Linked DNA regions of Sus scrofa. Each later gene encodes a partner of the first gene's protein in a complex. Links are inferred from orthologs where the notes say so. Each region holds a gene or a part of one and is shown on either strand. Other genes may lie near its edges.

Region 1 (5,854 bases):
CTCCAAGCGTTAGACTCAGAGGGAGGAAGGGCCACACGTTCTTTCACTTGAACCTGTGACTCGTTGGAGGATCATTAACTAGCCTAATTTCCATAGCGCTGTCATCTCGGGGGATAGGGAGGCCCGAGGAGAGGGAGAGAAACAGGGTAATGGTCAGGGGGTAGAGCAGGCAGAAGACAGAGGCACAGTTAAGTTCACCGTCGTTCATGGCACCCCAAAGCAATGCCAAGGATCACTAACGACAGGCCGCCGGAACAAGAGATTCATAATGAAAAAGGTGAAAATATTGTGACAATCACCACCACGTAACACGGAGACACAAAGTGAGCAGATGCTCTTGGAAAAACGGCTTGCTCAGTGCGGGGATGCCGCAGACCTTCAAGCTGTAAAAAACACAGTTAACGCCAAAGCACAACAGAATGAAGCACAATAAAATAAGACCTGCCTATAAAATTAAATATAATACCAGATACAACATTGTAATCAACTATACTCCAATAAAATTAAATTTTAAATAAATAGTACCAGGGACTCAGATGTCCCCTTAACCAAGAAACTACTGTCAGTTTCTGTAACTCCCATGGTTTAGGAACAGGATAGCAAGCTACCACTGAGAAGCCTTTTAAAGGAAGACTGACAGTCCTGAGGACACAAAAATGCAAAGCATTAGTAAAAGATACAAAGTAAATTTAACAGGCAGATAGACTGCAAATATTCACCCCAAATCTAACAAAGGGTTAATACCTCTATAGGAAGAACTCCTACAGATCAACAAGGCAAAGACAACACTCAATCAAGAATTAACAAATTATATAAACTCTTCCCCCTGCTTCATTCCAAATCTTAAAATGCTGCTCACAGGTTCTTCACACTTTGCTGGGCCTGGTCTTGCACACACAGCAGCTTAGTTCAACTCACTCTGAATTACCCACTGACCTCTAACATGTCTCCAGAAGAGTGGTAATTAATCTCATGTGCTTTCTATCTAAAGGAACCACTCCACAAGACTGTCATATATATAAGGGACTTGTATCTAGAGTATATATGGAAATCTTACGACTCAGTGATAAAAAGCAAGCAGCCTAATTTTTAAATGGACAAATGATATGAACAGACATTTCTCCAAAGAAGACACAGAAATGGCCAGCAGCACATGAAAAGATGCTCAACATCGTTAACCACCAGGAAAATGCAAATCAAAATTGCAACAAGATACCAATTCCTACCCACCAGGACGGCTAGAACTGAAAACACAAAACCAAAGAACAGATAATGACAAGTATTGGCAAGGACCTGAAAAAGTCAGAGAAGATTCATACACTGCTGACAGGAACATAAAACAGTGCAGCTCCTTTAAAAACCAGTTTGGAAGTTCCTTAAAATGTTAAACACAGAGTTACCATGAGACCCAGCAATTCCCTTAGCTATATACCAAGAGAAATTAAATCATGATGATGACACAAAAACTTGTACACATAAATGTTCACAGCAGCGTTATTCATAACAGCCAGAACAACCCAAATGTCCATAACTGACCAATGGATAAATGGTGGTATATCCATACAATGAAATATTACCTAGCAATAAAAAAGGAATGAAGTGCTGATACATGCTATAACATGGATGAACATGATTGTTAAAAGTGAAAAAAGACAATCAAGAAAGACCACATAGTTTACAATTTCATTGTATGAAATGTTCAGAATAGGCAAATATATACACCCAGTAGATCAGTAGCCCCTTAGGGCTAAGAGTGGGGAGGAGTGGGAGTGAGTAAGGAGGAAATCATGAGACTGCTAATGGGCACAGGGCTTGTTCTGGGGGTGATAAAAACTTTTCAAAATTGATCGTGGTATTGCTTGTACAAATTTGTGAATGCACGAAAAACCAAAGTATATTGTAAAGTTCTAGGTATGTGACCTATATCTCAATCTGGTTTGTTTTTTTGTTTTTCCCCAAAAAGACTGTAGCTTGGGGAGTTCTCATTGTGGCACAGCAGAAATGAATCCGACTAGTATCCATGAGGATGCAGGTTGGATCCTTGGCCTCGATCAGTGGGTCGGGATCTGGCATTGCCAGGAGCTGTGGTACAAGTCACAGATGCAGCTCAGATATGGTGTTGCTGTGGCTATGGCGTAGTCTGGCAGCTGTAGCTTGGATTCAACCCCTAGTCTGGGAACTTTCATATGCCACACTTTCGGCCCTAAAAAGCAAAAAAAGAAAAAGCAAAAAAAAAAAAAAAAAGACTGGATTGGGGTGTGCTTTTGTTTTTTTTTCCCATTATATCCTCAGCTCCTAAAACAGTGCCTGGCAATATCAGGGTTCAATAAATTCTGACTGAATAGAAAAATAAATTTCCAAATGTGGGTAAATCATTATAAAACTGTCATATCCAAAGAGACGAAATGACTGCAGGTTGGCATGCGGCGGGGGTGGTATACAGGGTGTTTGTGTGTTTGGTGAAAGGAGATAAGACCGAAAAATTCATCAGAAGCAAGGCCCTGCAGGGTCTTGAAGCCAGCCTAAGGAATTTCTATTATCCTCAATCAATGGGGAGGCCAGTAAGACTTTAAGCAGAGGATGAACACAGATCTGTGTTTTAAATGTATAAAGTCTAAGTAAAGAGTTGCTATTTTTAATAAAAGGGAAGCGGAGCAGTACTCAGGTGAGAATGAGGAGGAATTAGGGGAAGACGGAAAAAAAAAAAAAAGGAAATTTCAAAATATAAGAATCTTTGTGAATTTTAAAATTCCTCTCTCTCACACACACATACATACACACACACCTGAAACTCACTTACACTGAAACTCACTTCTATGGTCAGCCCCCGTGTGGGGCTCAAACGTGACGGGGCCAAAAGGTATTATGACCACTGAGCCAAACAGCTCTTTTCTACAGCCATCTAGGCAGGGTCCTCCTCTGGCTGCTGCAAACTGGGGCCACGGACAAAGGGCCCAGGTCCACTTCTTTACAAATGTGCTCCCGGGAACGCTCAACGAAACCCCAGGGCAAGACCACGGTGAGACACACAGGAGGGGGCACCTTACAGCGTCGCGAGGAGCTGAGCCCACCAGGGCCCCGCAGGTGCCAACCTTGCAACGGAGGGAGGTCGAGGCCGGTGACAACCCGGAGGTGACCCCGGAGGGGACTCCCCTGGCCACAGCCCACCCGGGACGCGGTCGCGGCCCCCGGCGCTGCAGGAACACCCACTCCTGGGGCGGCCGAGACCCGACTCCCTCCGCGGGCAGTGCCAGCCTCCCGGCTTACCACGCCGCCGCGGAGAGCGGGAGGGCTCCTCCCGGACGTCCGGTGGGAGCCGCGGGGCGGGGGGAGCGCGGAGGCCGGCGGGCGGCCCCGCCCCGCGGAGAGCAGTCGAGACTTCCGGCGTCGCCTCCCCGTGGGCTAGAGCGTCGGGACGAGCCCGCCGCTGGCGGACCCCGGACCCGGGCGAGCGAGGTGCAGGTTGGTGCCTGGCGTCTCTGCAGGTGGACCCGCGCCGGGAGGGGACTTGTCTCCTCAGATCCCCGCTTTTTGTTTTCTGCGCGCCATGAGCCCTCAACACACATTCAGTCCCGCAGTGGCTGCCGAGGAAATTTAAACCTCTGGTTCACGTTGCTCCTCGCAGGGATCGGCGCTTGGGTTCACATCCAAGGATGCAGAACCACGGGCCATCTGAGCCCCATTCTAGCCCTCAAGTCCATCTTGCCCCATTTGGCGGAGAAATTTGGCAAAAAAATTTTTTTTAATTCACCAAATATTTATGAACTGCTTACTGTGCTCCAGGGAATGCAGTGCTAAGAAAAAAATGTAGTGGTCTTTGCTCTCGGATTTTAGTAGTACGATAATAATAATTTACTTAATAGATTTCTCATAAGGATGGATATATAGTTTTTGTTTTTTGCTTTTTAGGCCCACACACATGGACATCCCCAGGCTAGGGGTGGAACTGGAGCTGCAGCTGCCGGTCTACACCACAGCCACAGCAAGGCCGGATCCAAGCCTCCTCTGTGGCCGACACCACAGCTCAAGGCAATGCCAGATCCATAACCCACTAAGCCAGGCCAAGGATGGAACCCACATCCTCATGGATACTAGTCGGGTTCATTACCACTGAGCCCCAACGGGAACTCCTCTTATCACAATATAAACCACTCAGAATAGTCTGGCATTTTGTTAAAGTGTTCAATAAAGGCCAGTTACCTTATTTTCATCTTGACCATTCCATTGTCCTCACTGCTATGCATGATTACTTTTTTAACGTTAAGCGTGAAGTCCCAGTGTTACCCGCCTGAGTCCCTAGACTCTAATCAACAGAAATTGCTAAGAGGCCAAAAATTCCAAGCAAGACTATAAGGAAAATAAGAAACAGGTGCCCTTGCTCGCTGTTTGAGTCCTTAAATGAGTTAACAAGAGAGGCCCCGTCCATGAATTGAGCAGGAGGCATAGCTGAAATGGTCTGCCCACTTCTTTGGTGGTACTTTGTGCAGGGATCATGTGCAGTCCACTGCTTTTGGTCCTGGCACCCCTGAACCAGTAGTTGGGCTTTGGCCTCTTTATATCTTTTGGTTCATAATTGCCCCCAACTGCCACATGCATGCAATTATTTTTAGTCCCTTATAGTTTTCTTCCTGGTCTTGGAAGAGTTATTTGTTCAGGTGCAAGCACTCTGGTAAAGGGTCCCAGGTTCCAGTCTACCACCCAAGTACCTTTCCTCCACAAAGCAGTGAGTCTCAGGTGAGTCACCTAGATTTGATGTGTTCCATAACCAGACTAATTAAGGGCAGTCTAAAGCAATGGTCTTCAAACTCTTGATCACATTCCCATCAGAAAAGAAAATTTGACTATAAACATATACTATGTATGATATAGATACATATTATGCATGCTATAAAAACTTCCGCAAGAAATAGAACCTTTAAAAGGTGAGATAAAAAATACTAATTTATGCATTTTCTTCCCATGCAACAAATAGGTTGCCATACATACATTCCATCACTTTGGAATCCACTGGTTAAATGAGCACATTATCAAAGTAGCCTGTTATTAAATTATGAATCCCCAGAATAGTTCTCTTTTTAAAGAATTAATGGAAACTAAGCAGATTTTGAGTTGCTTGAACAATAAGGGATATTTGAATAGTTTCATACATTAGAGGAAATGAAGAAATAAAATAGGCATCCTTTGGGTAATTTTCATTGACTTTTGACTTGTTAAATTTCTAAAGAAAGAGATTAAGATTGCAATGCCTGGAGTTCCCGTCGTGGCGCAGTGGTTAACGAATCCGACTAGGAGCCATGAGGTTGCGGGTTCGGTCCCTGGCCTTGCTCAGTGGGTTGGCGATCCGGCGTTGCCGTGAGCTGTGGTGTAGGTTGCAGACGCGGCTCGGATCCCGCATTGCTGTGGCTCTAGCATAGGCCGGTGGCTACAGCTCCGATTCAACCCCTAGCCTGGGAACCTCCATATGCTGCGGAAGCGGCCCAAGAAATAGCAACAACAACAACAACAACAAAAAGACAAAAAAAGACCAAAAAAAAAAGATTGCAATGCCTTATACCAAGCTTGATATTTCACAGAATACATCAACTAACAAAAAACTGATGAGGTTTTTTTATATGTGTATTTCATAAAATATTCATGACAATTAATCCTGGATCAATTAGTACCATACTAGAAAGAAATGTGTTTACTTTGTAAATAAGAAAAGCATACGACAGGCTTCTCTGATAGTTTGCTAGAAAACTGAGAATTTACGTTTCTATCACTGGACTTACACCTGCTAAGCCTTTTTTTTTTTTTCAGCCTTTTAGGGCTACACCTGAGCCATATGGAAGTTCCCAGGCTAGGGTAGAATCGG
Region 2 (6,043 bases), on another chromosome or scaffold:
AAGAACTGAGAACAGGAGTTGTCTGGTGGCCCAGGGTTAAAGGATGCAGTTTTGTCACTCATGTGGCTCCATTTGCTGCTGTGGAGTGGGTTCGATCCCTAGCCCGGGAACTTCCACACACCGTGGACAAGGCCAAAAAAAGAGAGAGAGAGAATTGAAAGCAGGAACTCAGATATTTGTACCCCAGTGTACAGAGCAGCATTATTCACAATAGCCAAAACGTGGAGACTATCAAAATGTCCATCAAGAGATGACTGGATAAATAAAATGGGATAGAGACAGACATTCTATACGTTAGAAAGGAATGGAGGGAGTTCTCTGATGGCCTAGCGGGTTGAGGCTCCTGCGTTCTCACCGCTGTGGCTCTTGTTGCTGCTGTGCGGCGTAGGTTCAATCCCTGGCCCAGGAATTCCCACATACTGCCTGTGTGGCAAAAAAGAAAAAAAAAAAAAGAAAGGAATGGAGCTCTGGCACATGCTACAACATGGATGAACCCTGAAAAATTATGCCACGTGAAAGAAGCCAGACACAACATGCCACCTTAGTATATGATTCCGTTTATATGAAATGTCCAGAATAGGCAAATCCATAGAGTCAGAAAGCAGATTTGTGGCTGCCGGGACTGGAAAAGAGGGGAGCTGGGGAGTTACAGTTTAATGTGTACCACGTTTCTGGTTGGAATTGTGAACAAGTTCTGGAAATGAAGAGTTGTGACGGTTGAACAACACTGTAAATGTATTTTTTAATTTTTAATTTTTTTAAATTTCTTTTGCCATTTCTTGGGCTGCTCCTGCGGCATATGGAGCTTCCCAGGCTAGGGGTCGAATCGGAGCTGTAGCCGCCGGCCTACACCAGAGCCACGGCAGTTTGGGATCCGAGCCGAGTCTGCGACCTACACCACAGCTCACGGCAACGCCAGATCCTTAACCCACTGAGCGAGGCCAGGGATCGAACACGAAACCTCATGGTTCCTAGTGGGATTCGTTAACCACTGCACCACGACGGGAACTCCCTGTAAATGTACTTAATATCACTTATTGTACACTTTGAAATGGTTGAAAGGATACATTTATGTTTGTTTTACTACAGTTCTTAAAAAAGACTAGAAGGCCACAAAACAAATCCTAGTGATTTTTGACTTTTCAGTGGCAGAATTATAAAGATCATGACTTGCCCTTTGTTACAGATTATGTAGTAAACATATTACTAATTACCAGGGGCACTGCATATAGCTAGCTTTAGTTTATAAAGTACGGCTCCAGCATATCACTCATCTGACTTTATCACGTTGCAGAGCCTGCCCATGTGAGAGCCCCTAGACCTCTGGATGTGAACTTGCTTGGAGGACACCCCCACCCCAGACCCTGTGCCCTGAGGGGCTGGCGCCAAGGACCCACCTCCAGGCTTCATCCCAGTCCCTTCGGATCTGGGGCCACCAGGGGGCGCAGCACAGGCATAGAAGCCTTTTGCAGCACTAGCAACTCTGCACTAAGTGATATCGTTTATTTTCACACCCATCCCAGGAGACAGGATTTTTCCACTTTACAAAATGTGAGAACAATCTGAGAGACTTGATAACCCGCCTCAGGACAGGGATTTGAGAATGGAGGGACCCAGGTCTTCTGACACACCCCCACCTCTCTGTCTTTGATTTCCCAGCAGTGCACTGTTGGAACGAGCCTGGCATAGCTTCCTCCAAGATCTGGCTCTTAACAGAAACTTCTGGCCGTTGTCAATGTCATACATAAGTGCAGTTAAGAATTTGCACTCAGGGCCTCTTTCCTAAACCTGGTTGCTAGCTTCTACCTTGTGAATTTCTCAATTCCAGAAGACAAGTCCCTGGGGTCCTGACAGTTTCCAGCTGCCTGACTTCCCCACTTCAGCCTCACCCTTCCCTGAGCCTTCCTACGGGAGACCCAGGCGGCCTGGCTCCCAGTCCTTCACTTGAGTGAGTCCAGCGCCCCAAACACCTGCATGAAACGCTCCCGGTCCAGGATGCGTCCGTAGCGTAGGGTGAGATAGAAGGTCTGTTTCCCACTGTACTGCCGGATCCGCACAAACAGCTCCTGAGGCCGATCGTGGCTTTCTGTCATGGGGACCACGTCGGCCACGGGGCAGTACGTGTCCTGTCGCCGGCCCCAGAAGGTCAGGTGGGCCACCCGCAGCACCGTGCCTGATTCATTCACATAGAGGATGCCCACCAGCCTCCGGAAGAAATGGCTCATCCAGCACAACATGGCCAGCGCGAAGCTGGCAACTGCGCCTGCCAGGCACAGGGAGTTGAAGGTCATGAGGCCCTGGGAGTACCAGTAGATGCCAGGCGGCAGGGCCACCACTGTCAACGCTGTCTGTGCCACCTTCAGCTGAGAGAGGTACCCGAAGACCCTGATGGCATCAAACCGGTACACCATCTGAAATTTCTCAGTCTCTGTGCCCAGCGGGTTCTTCTTGGATGGCAGAGGCCTGCTCCCCGCCCACCTCCTAGGATCCTGCCCACTGCAGCGCCACAGCCTGTGGAAAGGCCTTCCCCATGCAGCCTGCCTTGGTGACCACAGCACAGCTCGGAGCAGGGCAGCCTGGAAAGGAGACAGGGAGACCATTTCTCTCTGGAACTCAGCCAAGCTAATCACACAAGGACCACATGCAAAACATCTGCTACAGAGGATCCTGCCAGCCTGGTGAGGTCAGCATGATTGCCAGAGATGGAAAGAAAGCTGAAATCAGAGGCTTTACCTCTACCTCACGTGATAGTCAGGGAAGCTGTGTGCTAAAGGAACCACTGCTTCTACTTTACCACTGAGGAAACTAAGCCCAGAGAAGGTGAGAAATTTACCCAAAGACACACAGTCAGGGAGTAGGGCAGTCTAACTTTCAAACCCAACCTCTTTCCTCCAGGCAGCTCAAGTAGGCGCAGGCTTCATTCATTCAGCACATACCCAAGGAGGGCCGGTTCTGGCTGGATACCGGATCCACGGCCTGTGTGAACACTTCCTCAAGCAGGAAACTAAATCAGTGTCCCAGTGGGGAACAAATCCGCTAGCTAATCATCATAATAACTGTAGAATTCTCGGTTAGGTTAAAAGCGTCATCTTGGGGGCAGAACGTAAACGCTGTTTTCTTGGCCTGGATTGAGGGAAGGGATAGAATGGAGGAGGAAGGGATGGAGGCGTCAACTCATAGCACAAGGGTTTTATTAGATGCACAGTTCTACACCTTGAATATTGCACCGAAAGGTGCTTTGAGCTTTGAAGCCAGTTTTGGGTTCCAACCCTGGCTCCTACAGTCACCGGCTGTGGATCGTTGGGCAAATTACTCCACCTCTCTGGGCCCTGGTTTCTCTATCAAAGTGGGTATCCGTAACATACTGAAGAAGGTAACAGTTTTAAAGCCTTTAAATGCAGTAATGCACGGTGAATGCTAAATTTTAGTTGGCCCACGTGACCTAGGGGGCATAGGACGGCGGGGAACCCACGTCGGAGGTCCCTCCTCCGGATTCTCCGAATCAGAACCTAAGGCGTCCGCAGGCCTGCCCGGGGCCTGACTCCGACCCCCAAAGCACGACCCCTCCCTTTCTTGCCACCAATTGCCTTCTTACCATGGCCCCGCAGCCTGCAGCTGGAAGCGAGTCCCTCGCGTTCCGGGAATCTCCGAGAACGTGTCCTCCGCCCTAATGGGACAGCGTGGGGGCGCGCTGCATTCTGGGATCTGTAGTCCAGCCAGCAAAGCCGACGCTAGTCTCGGGCACTGCGGGAGGGGAATTCTCTTCCCGGCGTGCCCTGCGGCACGGGGGCCGGACCCGGAAGTTCCGGGCCGGGTGCCAGGTGCCAGTAAGTCGTGTAAGGTTTACGTGGAAACTGGGGTCATGGCTGCTCCCGGCCCAGCGCTCTGCCTCTTCGACGTGGACGGGACTCTGACCGCTCCCAGGCAGGTAAGCGGTGCAAAACTCCCTACGGCTCCCCGGTGGGTGTAATGACCGTCCAGGTAGGCGACCTGGGGCGGCTAAGGACCGCCTACCTCCCACGGAGGGGCTGAACTTTACTCTGGGTTCCTTGGAGTCATGAGACGAAAGCTCTCACCAGCTTTTCGAGACTTCAGGGTCCTCGGAGAGAAGGGACAGGCTAGGAACTCTTGAGAGCAAGGAACTTTGATTGGAAAACGCAGTTCTGGACTCTCATCAGCACCCCTGGGTTTGAATCCCGGATCAGCCGGGTTTACCAGCTTGTGTGCCCTCTTCAGACCTATCACCTGTGGTCTGCGCCTGTAGCCTGACATGAAAGACATAGGTTTCCAGGCCAAACAGACCTAGCAGAGTCTCTGCTTGACAGCTGTGTGACTTGAGCAAGTTAGTTAACCTCAGAGCCTCAGCATCTGTGGCTTTAAATGGGGCGTCTACCTGTTCCATGTGATGTTTGAATGAATGGATGAAATCATTTAAGTTCTTGAAAGTTATCTTACATACGGTAGACTGTGCTCAATAATACTCAGTAAGTATTCGCTGCCACCGCCACTCCCTGCTCTAGCCTTGCAGTGGAAGGGGGTGATAGAGGAAACCTAGATTGCCACAGGCTGCCTGCCGAGAACCTTCTTGGACTCCTGGAAACTTGCTTTCCATTTCCAGATTTTGCTGCCACGAGCACGGATAGGTCTCAAGATGAACCGTTGTGATGAAGCTTACCCTGACCTACCCTTTGCACACATTAGAAGAGCAGCCATTTGAACTTGAGACTGGCGCTAAATGGCCTCAGTCTCTCTCTACCCTGCTGCGTTTGGGTCGGGTGGTAGCACTGGTGTGCTCCAGAATTCCTCACTGAATGCGTGTGGCCTTAGATGTATCATTTTACTTTTCTGAGCCACAGGTGCTCTGTATGTACTGATGATGCACAGTTGTAAGTTCTCCACAGGCCCTTTTTGACTCCGTAATCAGTGCACACTTGCAAGTTGTTAAACACTCAGAGTGGCCTGGAGCCGAAGTCAGCAGTTCATTGTTTGCAAAGGGCCAGATAGCAAATACTTCCGTGTTTGCTGACCATATGGTCTGTAGTAACTATTCAACCTAAATCCAAAAGCAGCCATAGACCAGATGTGGACCTAGCACAGCTGTGTTCCAGTAAAACTTTATTACGGACACAAACTGCTGCTCTAATTGGCCCATTGGCCGGAGTGCTCTCTTAGGTTTACTTCCAAGCCTTTTGACATATCATTGGACCCTGTCGACCTTTCTCCCTCTTTGATCCCAGGTAGGATAGTTGTTATTTCATTTTAAATAAAGAAACTGAGACTCTGTGAAACGTGATCTGGATTTCCCACAGCAGATCTGGTGCAAGTCTCTGGGCCTCAGGGCGTTGTTGTTTGCTAAGATGGCCATTTTCTTCCACCGCCCAAAAGGTTGGAGGCTGTTCTGGTTATTACGCATGTGGTTCAGGACAGTAAAGAAGCATAAGGCATGGAATAACAACACCAAGCAACCTGCAATGTAGTCCCTTAAAGCATTTGAAACATGACATTCTTTGACATTCTTCTGTGAACATAAGTAATTTTTACGCTCAAAAAAAAGGTCTAATTTAGGAGTTTCCATTGTGGCTCAGTGGGTTAAGAACCTAGCTAGTATCCATGAGGTTGTGGGTGCGATCCCTGGCCTTGCTCAGTGGGTTAAGGATTTGGCATTGCCAAAAGCTGTGGTGTAGGTTGCAGATGCAGCTCAGATCCAGTGTTGCTATGGTTGTGGCACAGGCCGGCAGCTGCAGCTCTGAGTCACCCCCTTGCTCAGGCAGATGTGGCCATAAAAAGAAAAAAGGGAAAAAAAGTCTAATTTAAAAGAGAATTGTTTCTGGAGTTCCCGTGGCTCAATGGTTAACGAACCCCACTAGCATCCATGAGGACTCGGGTTCGATCCCTGGCTTCACTCAGTGGGTTAAGGATCTGGTGTCGCCATGAGCTGTGGTGGAGGTCGAAGAAACAGTTTGGATCCTGCATTGCTATGGCTGTGGCGTAGGCCAGCAGCTACAGCTCAGATTCGACCCCTAGCCTAGGAAGCTCCATATGC
Region 3 (5,999 bases), on another chromosome or scaffold:
ATTGGAGCTACAGCTTTGGGCCATAGCCACAGCAACTTGGGATCTAAGCCAGGTCTGCATCCTACACCAGTGCTCATGGCAACGCTGGATCCTTAATCCACTGAGTGAGGCCAGGGATTGAACTCGCATCCTCATGGTTCCTAGTTGGGTTTGTTAACCACTGAGCCATGAAGGGAACTCTGAAATAACACTTATTTAAGAGTACTCTTTAGCACAGTGCAATCCTTCCAGCTTTCAGTATGGATTCCTAACTAAAAAGATGCGATTCAAATAACAAAAAGATTGCATCTGCCAAAATATGTGTAGTTCATGGGCCTGATCCACACAGTCACTGAGCAAGGCTCATGTCATGGCGAGGCTGCCCTCCCAGCACAGTCACTGCTGCCTCACTTAGACTTTCCGGGAGGCCTCTTCCCCATTAATTCAACCACAAATGTCTACTGTATATATTCTATGTAAAGCCCACCATCCACACATTTTTAAAGCTTAAGTGTTATTTCATAGTTGTCTTCAGTGGAAGCTGCTCTTTGCCTACTTCCTCTCCTTGACCCTTTCAGACTCTACACTTTCATACAAAACCCTTGTGCCATCTGTCTCTGCAATTAGGGGTGCTATGGTGAGCACCCACATGCTCCTCTCAGGACCGAGGCTCTCATTCCCCCAGCATGGGGAGTCCCTCGGGCTGCTGGCTGGCTGACGGAATTCCTGCACCTGAAGAGAGCCTGCTCACCAAAGCCCTGGCGCTGCCCATATCCAGTGCTTGGCTGGTGTGGATGCCCCCCACCCCTGGAGATGAGGACTTCAAGGGCCAGCCCAGTTCCTGAGCTCCTGCAGAAACAGCTGAGGCAAACACCCTGTGCTTCAGCTTCTCCTTCTGCCCAGTCCTGCCTCCCTCGCCCTCACAGAGGCATTCTGAAAACACGCCCTCAAACCTCCCGCTGACGAACTGTACAGAGTTGGCTTCCTTGGAACTCGCCCTACGGTGGGGCCTGCAGGAGTGGTCCTGGGAAGGTGCTCCAAATTGGGATTTTGGAGCTGCATCACTGGCTGCCGGCTGGCCTTGAGGACTCCACCCCTGGTGGCAAGCAGTGATAGCACAACTGTCTCGCCTCTCACAGATGACCTGGGAAACTGGTGGGAGGGAATGCCCTAGTGGGTGTCATATTTTGGGAATTTAGGAGAAATAAGCAATTGGAAGGGCTCAGATTGGATGGCTGTAGTTGAGGGCCACCAATACACTGAAGAAAGAAGACAAAGGTAACTGATCACTAATGAAGGTCAAGTGTAAAAGGCAGAGGCCTCCTTGAGAGCAAAACCAGAGACTCATTCGTTGCACCCAGAGAGCAGAAAACACTGAGGGCAAGGCCCAGGCTAAAGAGTAGCAGAGAGGCTGGACTTTCAATCCCACCAGCTTTCCCACACCGAGGCCAGGGTCATGACTTGGGAAGGAACCTGAAGCTTGGCAGTGGTGTATCGAGGCTGATGCATCTCAAATCTTGAATCTGCAGATTCTCCTGAACCCTCCAGTGTGAAGCAGCAGCTCTCACCTCCCAGGGAAAGGCTAGCTCTTCCTCTTCTTTGAAGACCTGGTTGGGGCTTCCATCTAGCAAGACCTATGCTCTAGGCAGGCTGCAACATAACTAGGGGAAGGAGGACATGAGCCACTCCTAAACAGGCTGGAGGCTCCACCAGCAGAGCCAGGAGACACAGAATGAAGGGCATCATGAAGGGGCAAAGAATACAGAACGGGAAAAGTGAGACTTGATCAATAAGGGAGCACGCTCCTCAGATTAGAAACTAAAGTCTGACAAGCGGGCTGGGAGCAGATGCACAGCTAGGCTCGCTCTTAGAAAGATGGAGAGAGCATGGTCTACCTTAAGTGAAGCAAAAATAACAGAACTGCCATGGAAAACTGTGTAGGAAATGATCAAAAGTCACAGAGAGTGGGTCTGCAAGAGAGGACAGAGGCAGAAACCCACCAGCTGACTGTCATGTAGAAGGGTCTGGAAACCACCGTTCACATTGTCACAGAACAAGCTGTCCTGAAAGCCATGGGGGCAGCTATGGTAGTGAAGCCAGGGGGAAGCAACCATCACAATGAATGGCTTGGTTTCTCGACCTGAGTCAGTCTTCAGACCTGGAATCCATTTACCCAAGGGAGGCCAACCTCTATCAGGGGGCACCTGAGTAACTATATATGATTCCCCTGGCCCTTCATCAGAGACCTATGCCATTAACTGCATGCTGGGAAAGGGGACTACCCAAACATTTCAAGGTCTGCCAGACAGAGTCTGAGCTGACATCAACCCTAAAGAGTCATTATGGTGGCAATGTGATAAAGAGCCTGGCCTGGAAGAGGTTCATAGCTGGGTCCACCGCCTTCTCTGATAGTCATTTCCCTGATTTCCAATGTAGAAATGGAATGGATATGCGTGGTAATTGGCAACAACAGGCCCTTCTTTACTTCCTTTGGAGGTGGGTTAAGAGCTACTATAATGGGAAAAATCCAATGGAAGCCTCTGAAACTGCCTCCCACTGACCAAGATAGTAAATCAAAAACAGTATCACATCTAAGAGAGAATGGCAGAGACAGTGTTATCAAAGACTAAAGACACAGGGGTGGTTGTTTTAAAAAGCACTGGCCTGGATATTAGAAAACTGAGGATAAGGAAGACTCACATTCAATTTTGAATTGTGTGAAATTGGGCAAATATGCTTCGTACATACTAATGAATACTAACGTCTGAAAGAGTAAATGTGAGACTCAAATGAGATGAAATAACATCTGGGAAATGTACTTATCTATTGTAAAGTATTAAACAACGGTTAAGTTTTACATAGTTCTTTCCACAAGTAAAAGTTGAGAAAAAATTTACAGACACAATTCAACTAAGTTTTATCAAAATCAACTTTCATATTTCAGTTCGAATTTGTGAAAAGACCTGTAGGCTCATATGCTCTAATTCTTAACTGTGTAATGGTTCTACCTTTTAATTTGTGTAAGCTGTTTATGCTCAGCACTGAACTTGTGTAGAAGGGCAGTAGCAGCTCTCGTCACGTTGGCTGAAAGACTGATAGTTACAGGGAATTCCTTTTTACCTTTCTGTGACGTTGAGACGGCAGTATCCCCGCCCTGACTTCTGTGCACAGACACTTGTTTGTCGCTGTCCTCTTTCGCTCTCTGCGTGCTCTGTCCTTGCGTCCAGATGGTCTTCTGGGTGACTCCCCAAATACACCTAGGTCGTACCGTCTTCTGCTCTTGCAGAGCCCACCTCAAACTGGGCACAGTCTTCAAGCAAGCTTTGTTAAGTACAAAGTGTGGCAAAAACAACTGCTTCCCCGAGAAGCTGTGCAGCTTTCCCGTGCACCGTACAGCTCGTAGTAAGGTACAAATCATGTTCACAGAAAGCCGCTCCGCTGAGGGAAGATGCCAGCTAAGATGAGCAAATCTTCACTACCAACTCCACACCCGGCCAGAGGCGGACTTAAGTCCGCATTCACATCGGTAGTTCTGCACTGCGTGTCCGGCAAAAAAAAAAAAACAAGGAGCATAAATCAAGACAAAAAGTCTCCGTAAAGGAGCTGACGTCCACTTTCCCTTCTCTCCGGCCCTCTTTTTACTTGAATTAATGTGCTTTCATTACTTTCTATGCTGACATTCACATTGTCCCCGCCAGGCCTTTGCAAAGTAACCTAGGAAGCCCCTAAGAATCCTGGGAATTGTAGTTTGAGGGCAGCACCCCTCACAGAGTTGCTGCAAGGGCAGTGGCCTTAGGCCTACATCTCCCACAGTCCAAGGCTGCCTCCCAAGCTCCTCTGCGTGGCCGCCTGCGCACACACCGCACGTACTGGGCGCGACAGAAAGGCGAGACCATGTTGGGACGGTGGGCGGGGCTCCCTGCTCTGCGTAGCACAAAACGCACCTAGGAAGGTCAAGTTAGCAATTAGAAACTGCAAGTTCTTACAACCCTCTAAAGAGGGCTATGTAAACTGGGAAGTTCTCGGTGTGACTGTGGCTATGCCTTTCCTTAAGGCCAAGTGTCACAGCCTTTGTATTTGTTTCTCCAAGGAAATCAGACAGGAAGCAGCCGCAAAGTGCCAGAGTCAGCAAGGGGGAGGGGCAAGGGCGTAGCCGCCGTAAAGTCCAGGCGATACACTTGCTAGGCGTCAGGACTTCCAGCAGTTGCTAGAAACCGGGCCCCATACGTTCCTAGAACCACTCCGAGTGGAAAGGCGGTGTGGTTCTTGACCCCGCCCCTCCGTTGCGTACGCACGTCGGGGCGTGCGCTGGCGTCGAGTGGGCGTGACCCTGGGCGGTGCGACGGTAGGAAGGAGGAGGGCGCTGCTGGTGCTCCAGCTGGGTCTCCATGGCGACTGGACGCGGCCGGCTCCTGCAGCAGTACTGGCTCGGCCTCCTGGCTCGGCGCCCGCGGATTGGCGGCGACTTCTGGGCCCCCGGGAGCGCGGGAGAAGCCGCCAGGAGCGCGGGGTTCAGGTGACTCTCGGGGGCCGCGGGCAGGGTACTGCCGGCGGGGGTGTGAGCCCAGGGAGTCCCCCGTAAGGGAAGTTTCTTACTCCCCCGCCTCCCTTTCCTTTGATTTTCATTGGTTCTGCCCCGCTGCTTTTAGCGCGAGAAATGTCTGGAAGGCCGGCGGGAAAAAGTTTCTAAAGCTTGGGAGCTTGGGGCTACCCCAAATAAATTCAAGTAGTGGAGCTTCTCGGGAATATTTTCCCCTCAGTTCATTAAGTTAATGGGCCCTGCCCGAAGCTGGGGCGTGTAAGCCCGAGACCCCGAGCAGCCCTCGGGAGAGGCGCAGCGTTGATGCGCTCCACCTGCGGAGGTAGGTGCGAGCGGCCCCCTCTACGGAACGTGTTCCCGAAGTTGCTTCCTTATTCTGGCACCAGGAATCACATTTTGTCTTTTTCTTGACTTTATATCCTAGAGAAGTAGAATATACTCTTAAAAATGTTTTTTCTCCTGAGCGCGGTTTGTGAATGGAAGGCTCAACCCCTAACCAGATAACTCTTTGTTAGGCAGGTTGGTCTGGGAGCTGCACTTCCGACCTCAAGGCCAGTCTGCTTTCCAAAGCAAACCTAGGAGGGTTGCTTTCTAGACAGACACCCGTTAGTGCTCAGCCCCTAGTCCTTTTCTGCCGTTTTCCTGCCCAGGCGCTAGGGCGGGGCGTATGGTATCAAGTTCTGGTGTCTGGGGGGCTCATCTCTGCTCCATTTCTTACGGAGTACCCTGGAATTGAAGAGTGCCCCTCTTCTACAATGAGAAAAGGCAGCTTTGAAGGGTGAGATGAGGAAGGAACAGGGGACAGGAGGAAGCAGTTGCTTTCCAAAAGGAACTTGGCAGCTTAACTCCAAGGTTAATGGCTTACTTCACAAAGTGAGAGACCCAGTTTGTCAAAAGCATCTGAATACTATTGTGATACCGTATTAAATCCCTCTTTTATCGTGAGCTGTTCTTAGCTCTGCACCCATCATTCCAGTTAGATTAGCAGGTGGAGGGTTAATGCTAAAGACCGTTTGCATTCTTTTTTTTTTTTTTGTCTTTTTAGGGCTGCACCTGGGGCATATGGAAGTGCCCAGGCTGGGGGTTTAATTGAAACTGTAGCTGATGGCCTACACCACAGCCACAGCAACGCTGGATCCGAGCTGGGTCTGTGACCTACACCTCAACTCACAGCAACACCAGATCCTTAACCCGCTGAGCAAGGCCAGGTATCAAGCCTGTGTCCTCATGGATACTAGTCAGATTCATTTCCTCTGTGCCATGACCAGAGTTTACCGTTTTCATTCTTGAGCACTGCCTTTTTGGTTGTAAGTCTTCTCAATTTGTGGACACAAAAAGTCACACATATTATGCCTTCTAATAAACCAAATATCTATGTTTAAGCATAAAAAAGTATTCTGTTACTTATCAGCTCAACTACTTAAGTTATATATTCCACCGGAATCTCCAGAACTATGTCTTACATTCATCCTAGGACCTG

What was found. The genes of interacting proteins can lie anywhere in the genome.
Region 2: cytochrome c oxidase assembly factor 1 homolog (region 1) and TMEM186 share a complex: the UniProt entries of both Homo sapiens proteins name them as parts of the mitochondrial complex. The link is inferred for Sus scrofa from reciprocal best matches to the Homo sapiens genes COA1 and TMEM186.
Region 3: cytochrome c oxidase assembly factor 1 homolog (region 1) and TIMM21 share a complex: the UniProt entries of both Homo sapiens proteins name them as parts of the MITRAC (mitochondrial translation regulation assembly intermediate of cytochrome c oxidase complex) complex. The link is inferred for Sus scrofa from reciprocal best matches to the Homo sapiens genes COA1 and TIMM21.

The regions. Positions count from the first base shown.
Region 1 is NC_010460.4:51,218,393-51,224,246, reverse strand, and holds the start of cytochrome c oxidase assembly factor 1 homolog, read right to left. Parts: upstream 3,489-5,854; 5' UTR 3,268-3,488; intron 1-3,267. UniProt on the Homo sapiens protein: Component of the MITRAC (mitochondrial translation regulation assembly intermediate of cytochrome c oxidase complex) complex, that regulates cytochrome c oxidase assembly.
Region 2 is NC_010445.4:33,890,202-33,896,244, reverse strand, and holds TMEM186 (transmembrane protein 186), read right to left. Parts: upstream 3,731-6,043; 5' UTR 3,599-3,730; coding exon 3,596-3,598; intron 3,566-3,595; exon of another isoform or gene 2,937-3,565; intron 2,577-2,936; coding exon 1,941-2,576; 3' UTR 718-1,940; downstream 1-717. Other genes in the region: PMM2 (phosphomannomutase 2), read left to right, coding at 3,863-3,928. UniProt on the Homo sapiens protein: As part of the MCIA complex, required for efficient assembly of the mitochondrial complex I.
Region 3 is NC_010443.5:149,852,174-149,858,172, forward strand, and holds the start of TIMM21 (mitochondrial import inner membrane translocase subunit Tim21), read right to left. Parts: upstream 3,731-5,999; 5' UTR 3,398-3,730; coding exon 3,100-3,397; intron 1-3,099. Other genes in the region: FBXO15 (F-box only protein 15), read left to right, coding at 4,368-4,495. UniProt on the Homo sapiens protein: Participates in the translocation of transit peptide-containing proteins across the mitochondrial inner membrane.